Oryctolagus cuniculus: one gene and its partners. The protein of the gene in region 2 interacts with the protein of the main gene of each other region in a pairwise test. Links are inferred from orthologs where the notes say so. Each region holds a gene or a part of one and is shown on either strand. Other genes may lie near its edges.

Region 1 (5,272 bases), on a different chromosome or scaffold from region 2:
ACTACAGAAAGAATAGCCTGTACCTCACGCAGAACTTTGCATGCTACACCTGGTTACAAACTTGATCTTGGAAAAAAGCTGAGACTATTTCACCTCCAAAAGTCGACCTTTGGGCTGTGGGATGGAAATCCTTGCCCTTCAGAAATTGAGTAATGCGAAGGGCTGGTGGACAACATATCTTCAGGCATTTGTGGATCAACGCCCTTCCATACTCATAGCCTATTTAATTACACGCACTTCCTGCTGTCTGCTAGGAGGTGTTGTGCAGTTCGCTTACATAACTGTGCCAGTGTTTTGCCTCACTTGTTCAACGACCTGGATACTTCTTTCCAAGTCATTTAATTGAGAGACCTCTTCTTAAAATGGGTCCCCCGATCGCAGACCAGGGACCTCCGCCCAGGCAGCGAGGACAAAGAGGAACGGGTACAGAAAGGTACAGACAGGGCTCTGGGGGAACGCGGCTGCCTGCCTGCCTGCCTGCCTGCTCTGGGGACGGCGGGGGCTGAGGGCTGGACGGAAGCGAGAGCCACACCCGGGCCCATCTGAACTCTGGGCAGACTCTTCGGCCCGGGCTGCGATACCTTTTACGACCAGGTAGACGATGGCGAGCAGAAAGGCGAGGAGGATGGCGAACAGCAGCGCACACAGAATAGAAAGGACCTGAACCGGCCACTGCCGAGCCGAGGTTCGGCTTCCCGCAGCAGCCGGGAAGATGCCGTTGCGCTTCTCCGGCAGCACCGGCGACCCATCTCCATCTGGCGGGAACAGAGAACCTCTCCTGGACTCCGACGACGGCCCAGCCGAGAACTCTGCCCGCAAGTCGCGGGCCACTTGGGTGCATCCCTCCTCGTCGTCGACTTCGCCCACACCCCAGCTGTCCCCCTGAGAGAAGGCGGAGTACTGCGGCGCCGCGAAGGGCACCGGCGTGCCGAGGCGGCGGCGGCGCGGCGCAGAACGCCTCCCGCTCTCCACAAAAGACATGGCGGGAAAGACGGCGAGAACCGCCGAGGTCCAACGTCTCTCACTGGCCCCGCCCCGCGACCGCAACAGCCAATCAGCGGCAGGGCCCCGCTGCGGCCTCCACCACCCGGCCAGGCGCGCAGGGGTGCGAGAGGGTGGGCGGCGGCGCCGAGAGGGAGCAGAGGGCTCGCCGGAGAGGCTGGGCGCCTCGCGGCCGCGGGCCGATTCCGGGACAGCAGGCGAGAGCGGGCGCAGGGAAGCGTGCAGGGACAGGCAAGCCGAGGCCCCAAATAGCCGAGTTGCCTCTCCCCAGCGTGCTTAGTCCCGGCCACCGGCGCGTCGCCACCCAGGCAAGCGCGTGCCCCAGCAGCCCCACAGTCAACACCGGGTCCTAAAGCTCGCCCAGGCCCTTCCGATACACATTCAAGAGCCTGCGTGCTTTTCCCCCTCTACGCTCACACTGCTCCCCAGTCTGCTCCTCCTAACCCGTCGCTTTGCCTCGGGAGTCCATCCCGCTCTCGGCGTGTTTCTCCCCACCCACAACTTCCCTCCCAGCGACTCGGCGCGCTCTGCGCCGCTGCAGGCAGAGCTCCCTTGCTCTGGACGCCTCTTCGCTAGCCCGTCCCTCCCCGCCCCTTCGCCTCCCACACAGCGCGCGCACTGGCGCGCATCCTGCCCCAGCTACCGCTAACGCTGGAAGCTGCTTACCCCGCCCCCACCCCACTCCACCCCACCCCACCCTACCCTCTTGGGGGCGGCCGCAGGTTTGTGGCGCGTACGTAACTCGGGCGGGGGAGATGGTGAAGGCGGCGGGCCCCAATACCCCACCCCTACGCAGTGAGGCTTTTGGAGCTCAGGGAAGATAGGGCACGGTAGTCTTCCTCCGCCGAAAGGAAGTTGGTAGAGTTTTCCAGTCAAAGGACTCGACGCGGAAACTTCCTCTTGTCCCTCCTCTTCCCCCCCTTCCCGTGCACGGGACGCCGAGTGAGGCTGAGGCTCAGAGCCAATCGCCGCAGAAGTGCGAGTCGGCGGCGCACTGCGATTGGACAGCGGAGAAGCCTGTCATTTTATTGGCCCCGCTGAGCCCGCCCCATAGCTCAGGGCATCCTTTAACCTTTGGCCCCAGCGGGCGCCAGCCACTCAGATCGCTTCTTGTTGGTATGTGTAGCGGCAGTGGCCGCCGGCCGAGCAGTCTGAGCCCGACGATGAGGCCGGGGACGGGAGCCGAGCGTGGAGGCCTCATGGTGAGTGAAATGGAGAACCAACCTCCCTCGCGGGGTCCTGGGGACGGGGAGCCGAGATTGTCCGGCTCCAACCTCTGCTCCAGCTCTTGGGTTTCCGCTGACGGCTTCCTGAGGAGACGGCCCTCGGTAAGGGATCGGTGGTGTAGGGGGAAAGCGGCACAATGAAAAACGGAGGCAGACAGGAAGCGTACTCCGAAAGGAGAAGAGTGGAGTGGACGAAGGAAGAACTCCAGATGGTGGGCTATGTCCCGAGGGAGAGAGACGCAGGGCAGGGCTGCACAAAGAGAAGTATGTGGGACCTTTGAAGTTCCCAGTGGGCTTGGCCTAGACAGATGCGCGGTGAAGGTGCTGGCAGGCCTTGGGCGGGGCGAGCGTCTCGGAGCCGAAGGCCTGGTTTAGCAGAGGCTTGATGTCGCTAAGACTGCAAGAAGCTGATTTGTTTGCACGCGTAGTGGTGGTGGTCTGCGGCGGGAGGAGGGGGTCTCTGGGATAATTGGCTGGGGAGAATTCCCTGGTTTAAAAGCCAGGAACAATGGACACATAGGAAGAAAGTAGTGCGTTAAATGCGCAGTGAAATAGTTGACTTGGTTGTTTGCATTTAGTGTCTGTGAGTGACAGAAACTTAAGTTTTCGGAGATGTGTTTTCGGGAGAGGAACTTTTACCTGTGCTGAAGCTTAGGTTAGGAAATAGTATGTTAGGCATGAAGTGGCTCTGACAACCCATCCTGTGCATTCTGTTAAGACAGGTTTGCCTCGAAGTGAATTTGACAAATTCAAAGTCTTTGAAGTGTCAAATTAGTGGCATTGTAAAATGACAGCTGGCTTTTTTTTTTTATATCTATGTAAAACAGGATAAAGATGTGATTTTTTTGACCATAACTTTCTAAGTAAGCATTGAATATGTATTTTCCAAAACCAGCAAGCAATTCGGTAGATGATTGAATCAGTGCTTAGTGAAGGGGGGTGGGGGGACCAAGCTGATTCAACCCTCCAGGATCATTTTTCACCTTTTCCACATTGTTATGGAATGTGCAAGTTCATTATACTACAGTCATGCATCCCACAGTAGCCTAATATAGGCCACTACAGGTAAGAGATTTCTTGAAATGAGATTGCTGAGATGCTTATTAACTTGGTAATTTTCAAATGCTCATTATTTTTCAGATGGGGCACCCTGGCATGCATTATGCCCCAATGGGAATGCACCCTATGGGTCAGAGAGCAAATATGCCTCCTGTACCTCATGGAATGATGCCACAAATGATGCCCCCTATGGGAGGGCCACCAATGGGACAAGTAAGAACGTTATGTTTTTGTTTTGTTTCCTATTTGTTGGTGCTTTTTTGCCTCAGGTATTGTGTCGACATTTTAGAATTTTAAATCAGTGCCGTACTTGTAGCTGGTTGAGGATTAATTTATGCCCAGATAAAGTTTTCAGATAAAAATGTTGCATCAAGACTGTAATCAAATTTTGAATGTAATGAAAAAGTATTCTGTATCAAAAAATTACTACCTCAACAAAATTTAAGAGTTTTTTTTCCTAAGTAACTGTGTATCTAGGCTTTTTATTTAATGTCCTTTTCTCTCTTGAGCATGTCAATTGGAGTTAACTTTTTAAGAGTAAATATTGTATGAAATGTCAACATAACTTATTTCAATGGACTATGTAAGTGTATAGACTCTGAAAATAGCGATTGTTTAGGCCTTTGACTTGGAATGAATTTTACTGCTTAATATCTTCTCCTTTGTCTGTTGTGGGGTGGTGAGGGAGGGTTGGGAAATTTGCTCTGTAATTCTGATTCTTCATAGAGCAGTGTCAGGTAGTTCGTTTTCAACTTATACTGTTTTTGGTTTTTAAAAAAATGCTTTTTGCTTCTGCACTCCTACTTTTGAGCTGTCCCTTCCATCTCTAACATAAATTGTAAATGGATTGTTTTGTAGGAGTGATTTAGAGCAAAAGGTTTATGCTGACTCAGCAGCATCCGTAGACCTAAGTTAGTTAGCTTGATTTAGTAGAACTAAGTTTCTAGAGAAGCATCCAATAAAGGTAACAGGTTTAGTTACCATGAATAATTTTGTGCTTTATGTTATTAGGTTCTTTAATACACACTCTTTAGGTTGTTGGGTCATTTCTATTTGAGTATCTCAGTAAATCAGCAACAGCTTAGGCTAACAAGAGTATTTTGGAAAGCCAGTAGGTATGATCTTTTGTTGATTAGTATTATTTGATATGTAAGTATTTAAGCCTTGATGGTTAGAGTTATTGGTGAAACTGCAGTGAAAAAAGGAGCATGTTATGTGTCTCTCTCTTTTTACTTAACCTTACAAGGAGAAGGGCTCAATATCAAGTGGTTTTCTTCTTTTTTATTTGGAATATAGCCCTAAATTTTGTGTAAAAATCTTTATTCATAGGCACCAGATCCAAAAGATTCTGCCAGCAGGAGTTCTTTAAATAAGACTCTTTTATTCTGTTACTCTAGAATAACACAGGTTTTAACACTCCCTAGGTGATGCAGAAACAACTCTGATTCCTCTTCTGTTTCTTTCCATCTCTAAGCAGCAAAGAGCTCTTCTTGTTTTCTTGGTAGAGCTGCTCTAACTAGATAATGAGCTTTAAAAAATATTTTATTCTTTAAATGCTCTGGTTCTTATTTAAAATTAGTTTCTTTCCACAGAAAGATAAAATAAAACAATTTGCTACTGCCAGATGCTTCTCTCTTTTCTGGGGCCTTCTGTTTCCATTGGGCCAGTCAAGGTAAGTTTTGCAAGGGATTGACCTGCTTACCCTTGCTGTAATGGTGCTGTTGCAGTACCAAAACCAAAACACAAGCTAGCATTTTCCAGGTTCTAGTAAAATGCAAATTTTGTTTTTTAAAAGTACTTTTGTGTATCTCATTGACATAAGCTGGTCACAGTTTGCTTTATGGCCCTATCTCTAGCTGTATCAATGACCATCTTCCTTATAGGTTTTACTTGATACTTCGTACACATCCATTCAGATACTCAGAATTTTGCCTTGTAGTTTCTTCTACTTTTTTCCTAGGTCAATATATGCCATGTGACTTTAA
Region 2 (4,780 bases):
GCCTTAACAGTCAGGTCTGGGCCAGGCAGAAGCCAGGAGCCAGGAACACATGGGTGACAAGGACCCAAGCAGTTAGGCATCATCCACGGCCTTCCCAGGCACATCAGCAGGAAGCCAGATTTGGAAGCAGAGCAGCTGAGACTTGAGGCAGCACTCCGATACTGGCATTGCAAGCTGTGGCTTAACACACTGGATCAGAATGCGAGCCCCAGGAACTGCGCTCTTGACCATGCAGGCAGGGCCCAAGGATATGCAAATGCCTCCGGTGGGAACTGTGTACAGAACAGCTAAACCCCAATGCCACAGATTTCAAACACTTCCCCATGTCAGCTCTATCAGCTTGGGAGCCAGACTTCTGTTATCAACGGCTGTAAAACAATCCGATCCTGGATCCACACCTGCCACCTAGCAAATCTGGGCGCACCACAGGCTCCTCCTGCTCCTGTGGGCCCAGGACACCACTCCTACACCTCTGACTCCTCCCCCTCTCCAAGGAAGCCTTTTTTAAGTCTGATCACTTAGCGTCTGACCAGATGCTGCCTCGGGGACAACTGCCACCCAATACTTTCAAAAGAGTTTAGCTTCACCTCAGGTAGGTTTTGTCTTTGACAACGTGTGACAGAAGAGACTGCATGTGAGATGTCTTCACCCCTCACCAAAGCCCATAGCCCCTGCTCTATAAAGACGTGCTACGTAAAGAAATGCACGCACAGGCAGCCTTTCCCTCTGTGGGGAGGCGCAATGTTCTCAGACCTGGTGGGCTTCTGGGTGCAGTCCGCTTCAGTCTATCACTCTGATCCTCAACTTGGGACATCTGAGAAGGGCCAGGACGCCCACAACCATTCCTCCACAGGTTTAGATGTGGTCAACGTGAACGCCACTCATCAGTGGAAAGAAAACTGAACCAGAGGACAGAGAGCAGGGCAGGCCAGGCGGGTTAGTGCCTCAGCAGACCAAGTGACGCTGGCTTCACCAGGACACGAGCAGCTGGAGGAAATGGGGCAGCGGCTGTCAGAGGGCTGAGTCTCCCCAGCAGCACTGATTCCTCTCCTGCTGAGATGAGCCCCCTTCCAGGTGCAGGCTCCGAGAAACCTGAGAACCCACGGAGGCCGCAAGGCGGGCACTCCTCTTCGGAGAGGAGCTTGGAAGCAGAACGAGCTGCCCAGGGTCCCCAGCAAGAGCTGGGAGTCGGTCTCCTATCTCCCATCCCACGTCCTGAGCGATGCTGCGTCTCACAGGTGCACGATGCCAGGCAGGGGTTCTGGTAAAGGCCAAGGCACTGCTCCTGCAATGCTGCCCAGAGGTACAACCACATGGGCACCGTGAGGACTCACATGTATCGATGGCAACAAGGGTGTCATCAAAGTCGTCTTCATCCTCTTCGGCGGGAGGCTGAGGGGAGCGGCCCCTGCGTTGCAAAGTGAGGTTAATCACAAGAGAATAGTGGCAGGAACACAGAGGAGGGACAGAAAAGGCTCTGCTGGAATGTGCAGTGGCCCCAGCCTGCTTCCTCGTCTCCATTTCTTCTCTCACAGGTTGGCAATACAACTCTGGAACTCTTCCTATTAGCAATGAAAGCAATGACTGGTACTTCCGGGTGGGGCGTGCAGGGTGGGTGGACACAAGGACACAGGGCATGCTCTACTGAAGTGGGGCATCAGAATCCTTTATAGAGTTTTAATTTTTTTTTTTTTTTTTTGACAGGCAGAGTGGACAGTGAAAGAGAGAGACAGAGAGAAAGGTCTTCCTTTGCCGTTGGTTCACCCTCCAATGGCCGCCGCGGCCGGCGCGCTGCGGCCGGCGCACCGCGCTGATCTGATGGCAGGAGCCAGGAGCCAGGTGCTTTTCCTGGTCTCCCATGGGGTGCAGGGCCCAAGCACCTGGGCCATCCTCCACTGCACTCCCGGGCCACAGCAGAGAGCTGGCCTGGAAGAGGGGCAACCGGGACTAGCACCCGGTGTGCCAGTGCCGCTAGGCGGAGGATTAGCCTAGTGAGCCGCGGCGCCGGCCTAGAGTTTTAAATTTTTAAAAAAGATTTATTTATTTGAAGGCTATAGTTAAGAGAGGGAGAGGTGGAGGGATCTTCCAACCACTGGTTCACTCCTCAAATGGTCACAATAGCAAGGACTGGGCCAGGCTGCAGCCAAGAGCCTGGAACTCCATCTAGGTCTCCCATGTGGGTGGCAGGGGCCAAAACACTTGGGTCATCATCTGCTATTTTCCCAGGCACATTAGCAGGGAGCTGGGTAGGAAATGGAGCAGCTAGGACTTGAACGGGTGCTCATATGGGATGCTGGTATTGCCAGCAGTGGCTCGACATGATGTACAACACTGGCCTGGGAATGCTTTCTCAAAGACTTGTCCCGGCCGGTGCTGCGGCTCACTAGGCTAATCCTCTGCCTTGCAGCGCTGGCACACCGGGTTCTAGTCCCGGTAGGGGCACCGGATCCTGTCCCAGTTGCCCCTCTTCCAGGCCAGCTCTCTGCTGTGGCCAGGGAGTGCAGTGGAGGACGGCCCAAGTGCTTGGGCCCTGCACCCCATGGGAGACCAGGAGAAGCACCTGGCTCCTGCCTTCGAATCAGCGTGGTGCGCTGGCCGCAGTGGTCATTGGAGGGTGAACCAACGGCAAAGGGAAGACCTTTCTCTCTGTCTCTCTCTCTCTGTCCACTCTGCCTGTCCAAAAAAAAAAAAAAAAAAAAAAAAAAAGACTGGTCCCTCAGAACCAAGATTCTGATCCATGCCTTTTGCATGACAGTGGTCTCCACAATGAACTTCTTGGTATCCCTAAGGGTGCTGGCCAGGAAGGAGAATGTGCAAGATCCTAGATAAACTCCGATAATTACAGCCTGTCCACATAACAGTTTTCTTAAAACCCTACATCTAAAAGGATTTAAAGTGACCCATTTTTTTTTCCAGTCCTTTTCAAGTGTCCTAAATTATGAACAAGATTCATCTGCCTACCAAAGCACTAAAAAAGGGACTTACAATGCTGGCTTGGGCTTTACAGGAATAAGGGAGAGAGGCAGAAAGACGGGGTCTAAGGCCCAGGGCCCTGCCAGCATTGACCTAGCGCACCGTGTGCACAGACCAGGTCGTGTGGCCCCAGCTTGCGGCTCCCCTCTGCCGGAGTTCCCTTCCAGCCTGCTGACCCACAGCCAGCAGAGAGCCCGGTACACACAAGGGGCTCAGCACAGGGAAGCTTCCTCCTGGGAATCCTTTCCTGCCGGCCCCAGATCAGAATGCGCGCTCTTCCTCTGCGCCCCATCAGCAAGCAGCCTGTGCTCTGTGGGAGGCAGAGGAAGAAACCATGTGAGGAGGGCGCCACGTCCTAACTTTACCACCGTCTGTGAGACCCAGCGACGGATGGAGGGGCAGGACTGAGCCTGGAAGCGAAGGAGCGGGAGGGCTGGTCAGGAAAGGGAAAAGGCAAATGGCCAGAGTGGCCCTCTTGTGAGCTCCTGAAACTCCCCTGCAGCCTGACAAGTAACCAGTACTGGGGCTTACTGCTGAGAGTGTCTGTTCTCAGTCCCTGTCAGGAAAAAAGAACGCAGACCCCACTGTCCACATCACCTCTGTGTCCCTGGTGTCTAGCCCAGGGGTGGGTGCCACATGGAAGCACTGAGTGGGAGGATGGAAGGAGACGGCTCGCCTGGGCAAGAGATCTTTCTCTGAACCAAAGGACCCCACGCGGCTACTAGGAACAGGACACTGTGCGGGACACCGCAGGCAGTAAGGCCAAGACTCAGACGTAGCCTGGCAACTCACACCCAAATGCGAGGTGTTTGGGATTCACCCTGCAGGTAACAAGAAGTGGGAACCGGGAGAAAGATCCAAGTTCAGGAACGCTGATCCTGGGAGCAGTGCAGGAAGGACTGGGAGAAAGTGTCAGCCCAAGGAGACCTGCTCGGCTCCTCTGCCTTAGAACTAAGGTCCCCAGCGGGTATGGGGCCGCGGGCGTGGAAGCCTACGGAATACTGCGACTCGCGCCTCAGATTCTCACCTCCGATCCTCTCGGTGCTCAAAGTACCCGCGGCCCCGGTTTTCTTCGTAAGGCCTCTTGCGACTCTGGAACTGCTGTCTGTCGGGCTTGAGCTGAGGAGCTTCAGGCGGGAGGAAGCTGGTGGGTCCTTCTTGTTTCATCTCTGTCTTCCCTTCTACTGCCAGGACAAATTCACATGGTGGTCACACTTGGAAACTCCTCAGCTGCGGGAGAAACGCTGGTCCCTTTTACCCCAGGAGATACAGGTGGACTGCTGACTAGGAGTGAAGGGTGGGGCACAGGCAGCTTTGCTGGGTGCAACAGGAAGAAGCCTGCTGAGCAAGCCAAGAAGGTGAGCGCGGAGAACAGGGCCAGGACACAGGAGAGCATGTGGCCGTACAGCTGGCAGTCACACAGCTCAGGCTTCACGGGGAAGGGGGCTTCAGCACTAAATGACGACAGTCTTTTTAATTCAAAGGTGAAAAAGCTGCCTTTGGCTAACAGGCCAGAGACCCATGAAGGCTGGCAGCTCTCTTGGCCTGTGGTGATTGGAAAAGAGTCCTCCAAGACTTCTAAGAGCCCAGAGTCACCCCGTAAGGGAGGATCTGCGGTTGAGCTACACCATAGCTAGGGTTCACCTCATTAAGTCACACCACACACAGGAAGCCAAGATGCGGACAGGGTACTGCAGGTCACAGGAAAGTCCCATTCCCAGGCACTCCAAAAACCTGCATCCAACCAAGAGCAAGTGTGGACTCACCCCAGACCCCTCTCTCACAGCACCCGCCCAGTGCTGGGTGC
Region 3 (5,300 bases), on a different chromosome or scaffold from region 2:
ACTGATAATATTTTAAAATTATGCTTAGTCATGGAATACACTTGGAATTAGAATGGCTAATGAATGCTGAAATAAGCATAGTTGAAACTTAAAGTATAGCTTATTTGGGGTTTTATTTTTCAGGTAAAGCTTTGAAGGTATCAGCTGAGCAATTCACAGATGACCCCTGTCATCTCCCAAAAAGGGAGGCTGTTGTTCAAGCTGCACGTGCCTTGTTGGCTGCAGTAACTCGACTCCTTATCCTTGCGGACATGATTGATGTCATGTGTCTTCTGCAACACGTGTCCACCGTAAGTAAAAGATGACTTAGTTTACCTTGGCATTGTTCTTGCTTCCAATTCCATTCTCTGAGCCTGGCATCAATCCTGCTGCATCTTGGCCTCATCCTCATCTTTTAATATCACTCATCAGAAGCTGGCCAAATTGGGTTGTGAAGACTAATGTATACTTCAAAGAATGAAGCCAGAAGTGAGTCTTAGAGCCGCTGGAAAACTGAGTAACAGAAGATGGCTTACTGATAACAAAGTGACTAGGAGAAACTTACAAGCTTTTGACCATTTAAATTATTGTGCCCCATATACATATGAATAAAACATAGCATAATTATATGGATACTATATGATAAATATATACTTATAAATAATTTGTGTAAGAAATCTTCAAGCTTACAATGTTTCGAAGTTTACCTTAGTTTGTAAATGAATGCTACTTTGCCAGCTCCTTGTGATCCAGGATAAATAGTGAATGTTTATGGTTCAGTTGTGATGTCTAGGGTGATCTATTATGAAAATGTATACATAGGTTTAAATGAGTGAATAATATATTTCAACTAGGAGGATACAAAAATAGCAATATATGCAGCTTGCTTTATTTTACCAAACAAGTCCATATCATAGTTTTAGTAGAAAATTTCATTAACATCTTTTTATTAAACTTTCTGTATTTGTTTAGTTTGATGAAGTCATTAATAGTGTCCAGATGAAAAGGTTGCAAATTCTTGAAATCTCTTGTATTTCTTGCTTTAAAAAGGACCTTAATTTTTGTCTATAAATACATCTGTTTTCATAAAGGTACCTGATGATTATAGTACGCCATTTGACAACTGATGACCTTATTTGATTGACCTGCTTGTCAAAATAATTTATTCTACTTGCTGAGCTAAGCCTTTCTTTGCATTTCACTCATAATCACTATCACTTACTTTAACATTTAGAGTAGGCCTTCCATTGTACTTTCATCTTTTTATCATTTTACTACTATAAAAATAATTCAATACTTTTTAACTCTTGTGACTTAGTTATTTGGTGAATAACCTTAGAAAAATTTCTGAACTTTTATGAGATCATTTTTATCACACGTGATACAGACACTAGTTAATTCTGTAGACCAGAAATGAGTATGAAAGGTCCTGTTTCAGACTTGACTTGTTGAGATAGGACCAAATGAATGGCTTTTGTAAGGTGAAATGGATACCTACGTAATCAGGAGGTAACTATATATATATATATAAAGAACATAACCAGCTTATTAAATACCATTTTAATTTAATGCCCTCTGAGTTAGGCACAGTGGTAGGTGTGGGGAGCAACTGGGAGCAACTCGGACTAGACTAAGTTACTGGAATTAAGACTTATTCTATGCATCTGCTCTCCCACAATATGGCGCTGAGAAGGGAAACAGCTTCTACACAGCTGCCTCCAGTTCAACCAATAAACTGTAGGACCTGCTCCTGATTGGAGGAGAGCAGCGTACTCGGCGTGTGGGTAGCAGAGTTGGGATTGGTGGAAGAGGACTATAAAGGAGGAGAGAGACAACATGCACCAGGAACATCTATCTGAAGGAACACCTGAGCAGCCCCCGAGAGAGCCGGCCGGCCGGCGGTGTGCCGCTCCCCCGCTGAAGTGGGGAAAGTGGCAGGGGGAACCGCCCTTCCACGGAGGTGGAAGGGTCGGTAGCCAACCCGGGAAGAACCAGCAGCAAACCCGGGGAGGGCCGAGCAGACGAAAGAACAGCGCAGGGTCCTGTGTCGTTCCTCCACGAAGACGGGGAGCGACAGTAGGCAATTCACACACATCACGTTGTTCAAATGAAGCAGGGGGATATTTGCAGATCAAATAAATGCAGAGTTCTACCTGCTGCAATAAAAATTATAGTTAACCTTTATTGAATATTTTACAATGTGCCAAGTACTGTTTTGGTGTATCTCCTTTAATTCAGTCCTCATTATAGCATTATGATTATGATTCCTATCTTACAGAGGAGGAAACTGTGGCCCATTAAATTTAAATAACTTGCTCAAGACAACAAGAGAAAAATAACACTTTTGGAACTTAGTACTATAAAAGTTAGAATAGCTTTAACTATAAATAGCTTTCAGAAATGTGTAGATGAGCCGGCACCGCGGCTCACTAGGCTAATCCTCCGCCTGGCGGCGCTGGCACACCAGGTTCTAGTCCCGGGCGGGGCGCCGGATTCTGTCCCGGTTGCCCCTCTTCCAGGCCAGCTCTCTGCTGTGGCCAGGGAGTGCAGTGGAGGATGGCCCAAGTGCTTGGGCCCTGCACCCCATGGGAGACCAGGAAAAGCACTGGCTCCTGGCTCCTGCCATCGGATCAGCGTGGTGCGCTGGCCGCAGCGCGCCAGCCGCGGCGGCCATTGGAGGGTGAACCAACGGCAAAGGAAGACCTTTCTCTCTGTCTCTCTCTCTCACTATCCACTCTGCCTGTCAAAAAAAAAAAAAAAATGTGTAGATGAGTTCATAGGCTTATAACAGGTTAATAAATGAAGTTGAGTGTGTCAACATCTTTCATTTTTAAAAATGATTTATTCCGTCGTGGAAGCAGGATTGCGCCGCGTCTTCCTGAAGAAGGTTAAGAACAAAAAGATGCACCTGGAGTTTGCCTGGAGCCCTCTGCGCGTCTAAGCTCGGGTGGGATCTGGGGTCCTTCGCTGGAAGCCGCTCTTGCAAATAGAAACCAGGCCAGCTCTCCTCAGTGGACAGTTGGTTACCTACCAGAGGTGTCTCCTACTGAAGGTATCCTTGGCGATACTCTAAGCCATAAAAAGACAACTTGCACCCAAGTTTGTCTGACATCTATCCTGTCAAGTGTCCATGATGCTGGGTCCCGAGGGAGGTGAAGGCTTTGTGGTCAAGCTCCGTGGCCTGCCCTGGTCCTGCTCTATTGAGGACGTGCAGAACTTCCTGTCCGACTGCACGATTCATGATGGGGCCGCAGGCGTTCATTTTATCTACACTAGAGAAGGCAGGCAGAGTGGTGAGGCATTTGTCGAACTTGAATCAGAAGATGATGTCAAAATGGCCCTGAAAAAAGACAGGGAAAGCATGGGGCACTGGTACATTGAGGTGTTCAAGTCTCACAGAACCGAGATGGATTGGGTGTTGAAGCACAGTGGTCCAAACAGCGCTGACACCGCTAATGATGGTTTCGTGCGGCTTCGAGGACTCCCGTTTGGATGCACAAAGGAAGAAATTGTTCAGTTTTTCTCAGGGTTGGAAATCGTGCCAAACGGGATCACTTTGCCTGTGGACCCCGAGGGCAAGATTACAGGGGAGGCCTTCGTGCAGTTTGCCTCTCAGGAGCTAGCAGAGAAGGCGCTAGGGAAGCACAAGGAGAGAATAGGGCACAGATATATTGAGGTATTTAAGAGCAGTCAGGAAGAAGTGAGGTCATACTCAGATCCTCCTCTGAAGTTCATGTCTGTTCAGCGACCCGGGCCCTATGACAGGCCTGGCACAGCCCGGAGGTATATTGGCATTGTGAAGCAGGCAGGCTTGGAGAGAATGCGGCCTGGTGCCTGCAGCGCTGGCTACGGGGGCTATGAGGAGTACAGTGGCCTCAGCGATGGCTACGGCTTCACCACTGATCTGTTCGGAAGAGACCTCAGCTACTGCCTCTCAGGAATGTACGACCACAGATACGGAGACAGCGAGTTCGCAGTGCAGAGCACCACCGGCCACTGCGTCCACATGAGAGGGCTGCCATACAAAGCGACCGAGAACGACATCTACAACTTCTTCTCTCCACTTAACGCGGTGAGAGTGCATATTGAGATCGGCCCAGATGGAAGAGTGACGGGCGAAGCTGATGTGGAGTTTGCCACCCATGAAGAAGCTGGGGCAGCGATGTCGAAAGATAGGGCCAATATGCAGCACAGATACATAGAACTCTTCTTGAATTCCACCACAGGGGCCAGCAACGGGGCCTACAGCAGCCAGGTGATGCAGGGCATGGGGGTGTCTGCGGCTCAGGCCACCTACAGTGGCCTGGAGAGCCAGTCAGTGAGCGGTTGTTATGGCGCTGGCTATAGTGGTCAGAACAGCATGGGTGGATATGATTAGTTTTGTAGAAGCATTTGAGTTAATTTCAATCAAATTTTCAGAGGCAGCCAGCAAGCAGTGAAAAAGCAGTTATTACCCTAGAGGAAGCTGTGGGACCCATTTTGCACCATGAGTTTGTGAAATCTGGATTAAAAAATTACCTCTTCAATGTTTTCTCATGCAAACTTTTCTTCTAGCATGTGATATTGAGTAAACTAAAACTATTTTCCGCTTTTCTCGATTAACATTTTAGTAGTATCCTTCCGAGTGATGTTATCTGAGTTAAAGTAGTTTAAGTATGTTAAATTGTGGATCTTTTACACCACACCACAGTGAACACCTTGGGGAGATGTACTTTTTTGGAAAACTCAAAGGTGCTAGATCCCTAATTCAAAGAGAAACATTTCTCATGTTTGTTCATTCTAGTTTCTATTTTCATTTAAATCTTTTAGGTTAAGTTTAAGCTTTTTAAAAGTTAGTTTTGAGAATTGAGACACAATACTAATACTGTAGGAATTGGTGAGGCCTTGACTTAAAACTTTCTTTGTACTGTGATTTCCTTTGGGGTGTATTTTGCTAAGTGAAACTTGATAAATTTTTTGTTAACTAAATTTTTTTCTTAAAATAAAGACTTTTTCACACACACAAAAAAAGATTTATTTATTTGAAAGGCAGAGTGACATGGGAGAGAGAGAGAGAGAGAGAGAGAGAGAGAGAGAGAGAGAGAGACTTGTTGGTGCCTTAACAGAGCCTATATTGAGGGTAGATGATTTAAGTTGTTTATTAGCTTGTATACCACAACAATGATACTTCATCTATGAAAAAGGAAGTGGAATCTTATTAAAGAGAATGGAAGAACTTTTGTGGTGAATTTTGATTTCTCAAAATGATTTCACCCTTAGGAAACATTAACATATACAATGGCCTTTCATATCCACAGGTTATGCAGATTCAAACCAACATG

The links. The genes of interacting proteins can lie anywhere in the genome.
Region 1: the proteins of HNRNPUL1 (region 2) and PRPF40A interact in a two-hybrid assay, tested with the Homo sapiens proteins (2 studies listed by BioGRID and IntAct). The link is inferred for Oryctolagus cuniculus from reciprocal best matches to the Homo sapiens genes HNRNPUL1 and PRPF40A.
Region 3: the proteins of HNRNPUL1 (region 2) and heterogeneous nuclear ribonucleoprotein F interact in a two-hybrid assay, tested with the Homo sapiens proteins (3 studies listed by BioGRID and IntAct). The link is inferred for Oryctolagus cuniculus from reciprocal best matches to the Homo sapiens genes HNRNPUL1 and HNRNPF.

The regions. Positions count from the first base shown.
Region 1 is NC_091434.1:89,170,882-89,176,153, forward strand, and holds the start of PRPF40A (pre-mRNA-processing factor 40 homolog A), read left to right. Parts: upstream 1-1,912; 5' UTR 1,913-2,120; coding exon 2,121-2,330; intron 2,331-3,368; coding exon 3,369-3,500; intron 3,501-4,879; exon of another isoform or gene 4,880-4,911; coding exon of another isoform or gene 4,912-4,959; intron 4,960-5,272. Other genes in the region: ARL6IP6 (ADP-ribosylation factor-like protein 6-interacting protein 6), read right to left, coding at 582-981.
Region 2 is NC_091449.1:13,337,404-13,342,183, forward strand, and holds part of HNRNPUL1 (heterogeneous nuclear ribonucleoprotein U-like protein 1), read right to left. Parts: intron 4,158-4,780; coding exon 4,001-4,157; intron 1,409-4,000; coding exon 1,335-1,408; intron 1-1,334.
Region 3 is NC_091446.1:59,592,391-59,597,690, reverse strand, and holds heterogeneous nuclear ribonucleoprotein F, read left to right. Parts: upstream 1-1,940; 5' UTR 1,941-3,109; coding exon 3,110-4,357; 3' UTR 4,358-4,989; downstream 4,990-5,300. Other genes in the region: CTNNA3 (catenin alpha-3), read left to right, coding at 124-290.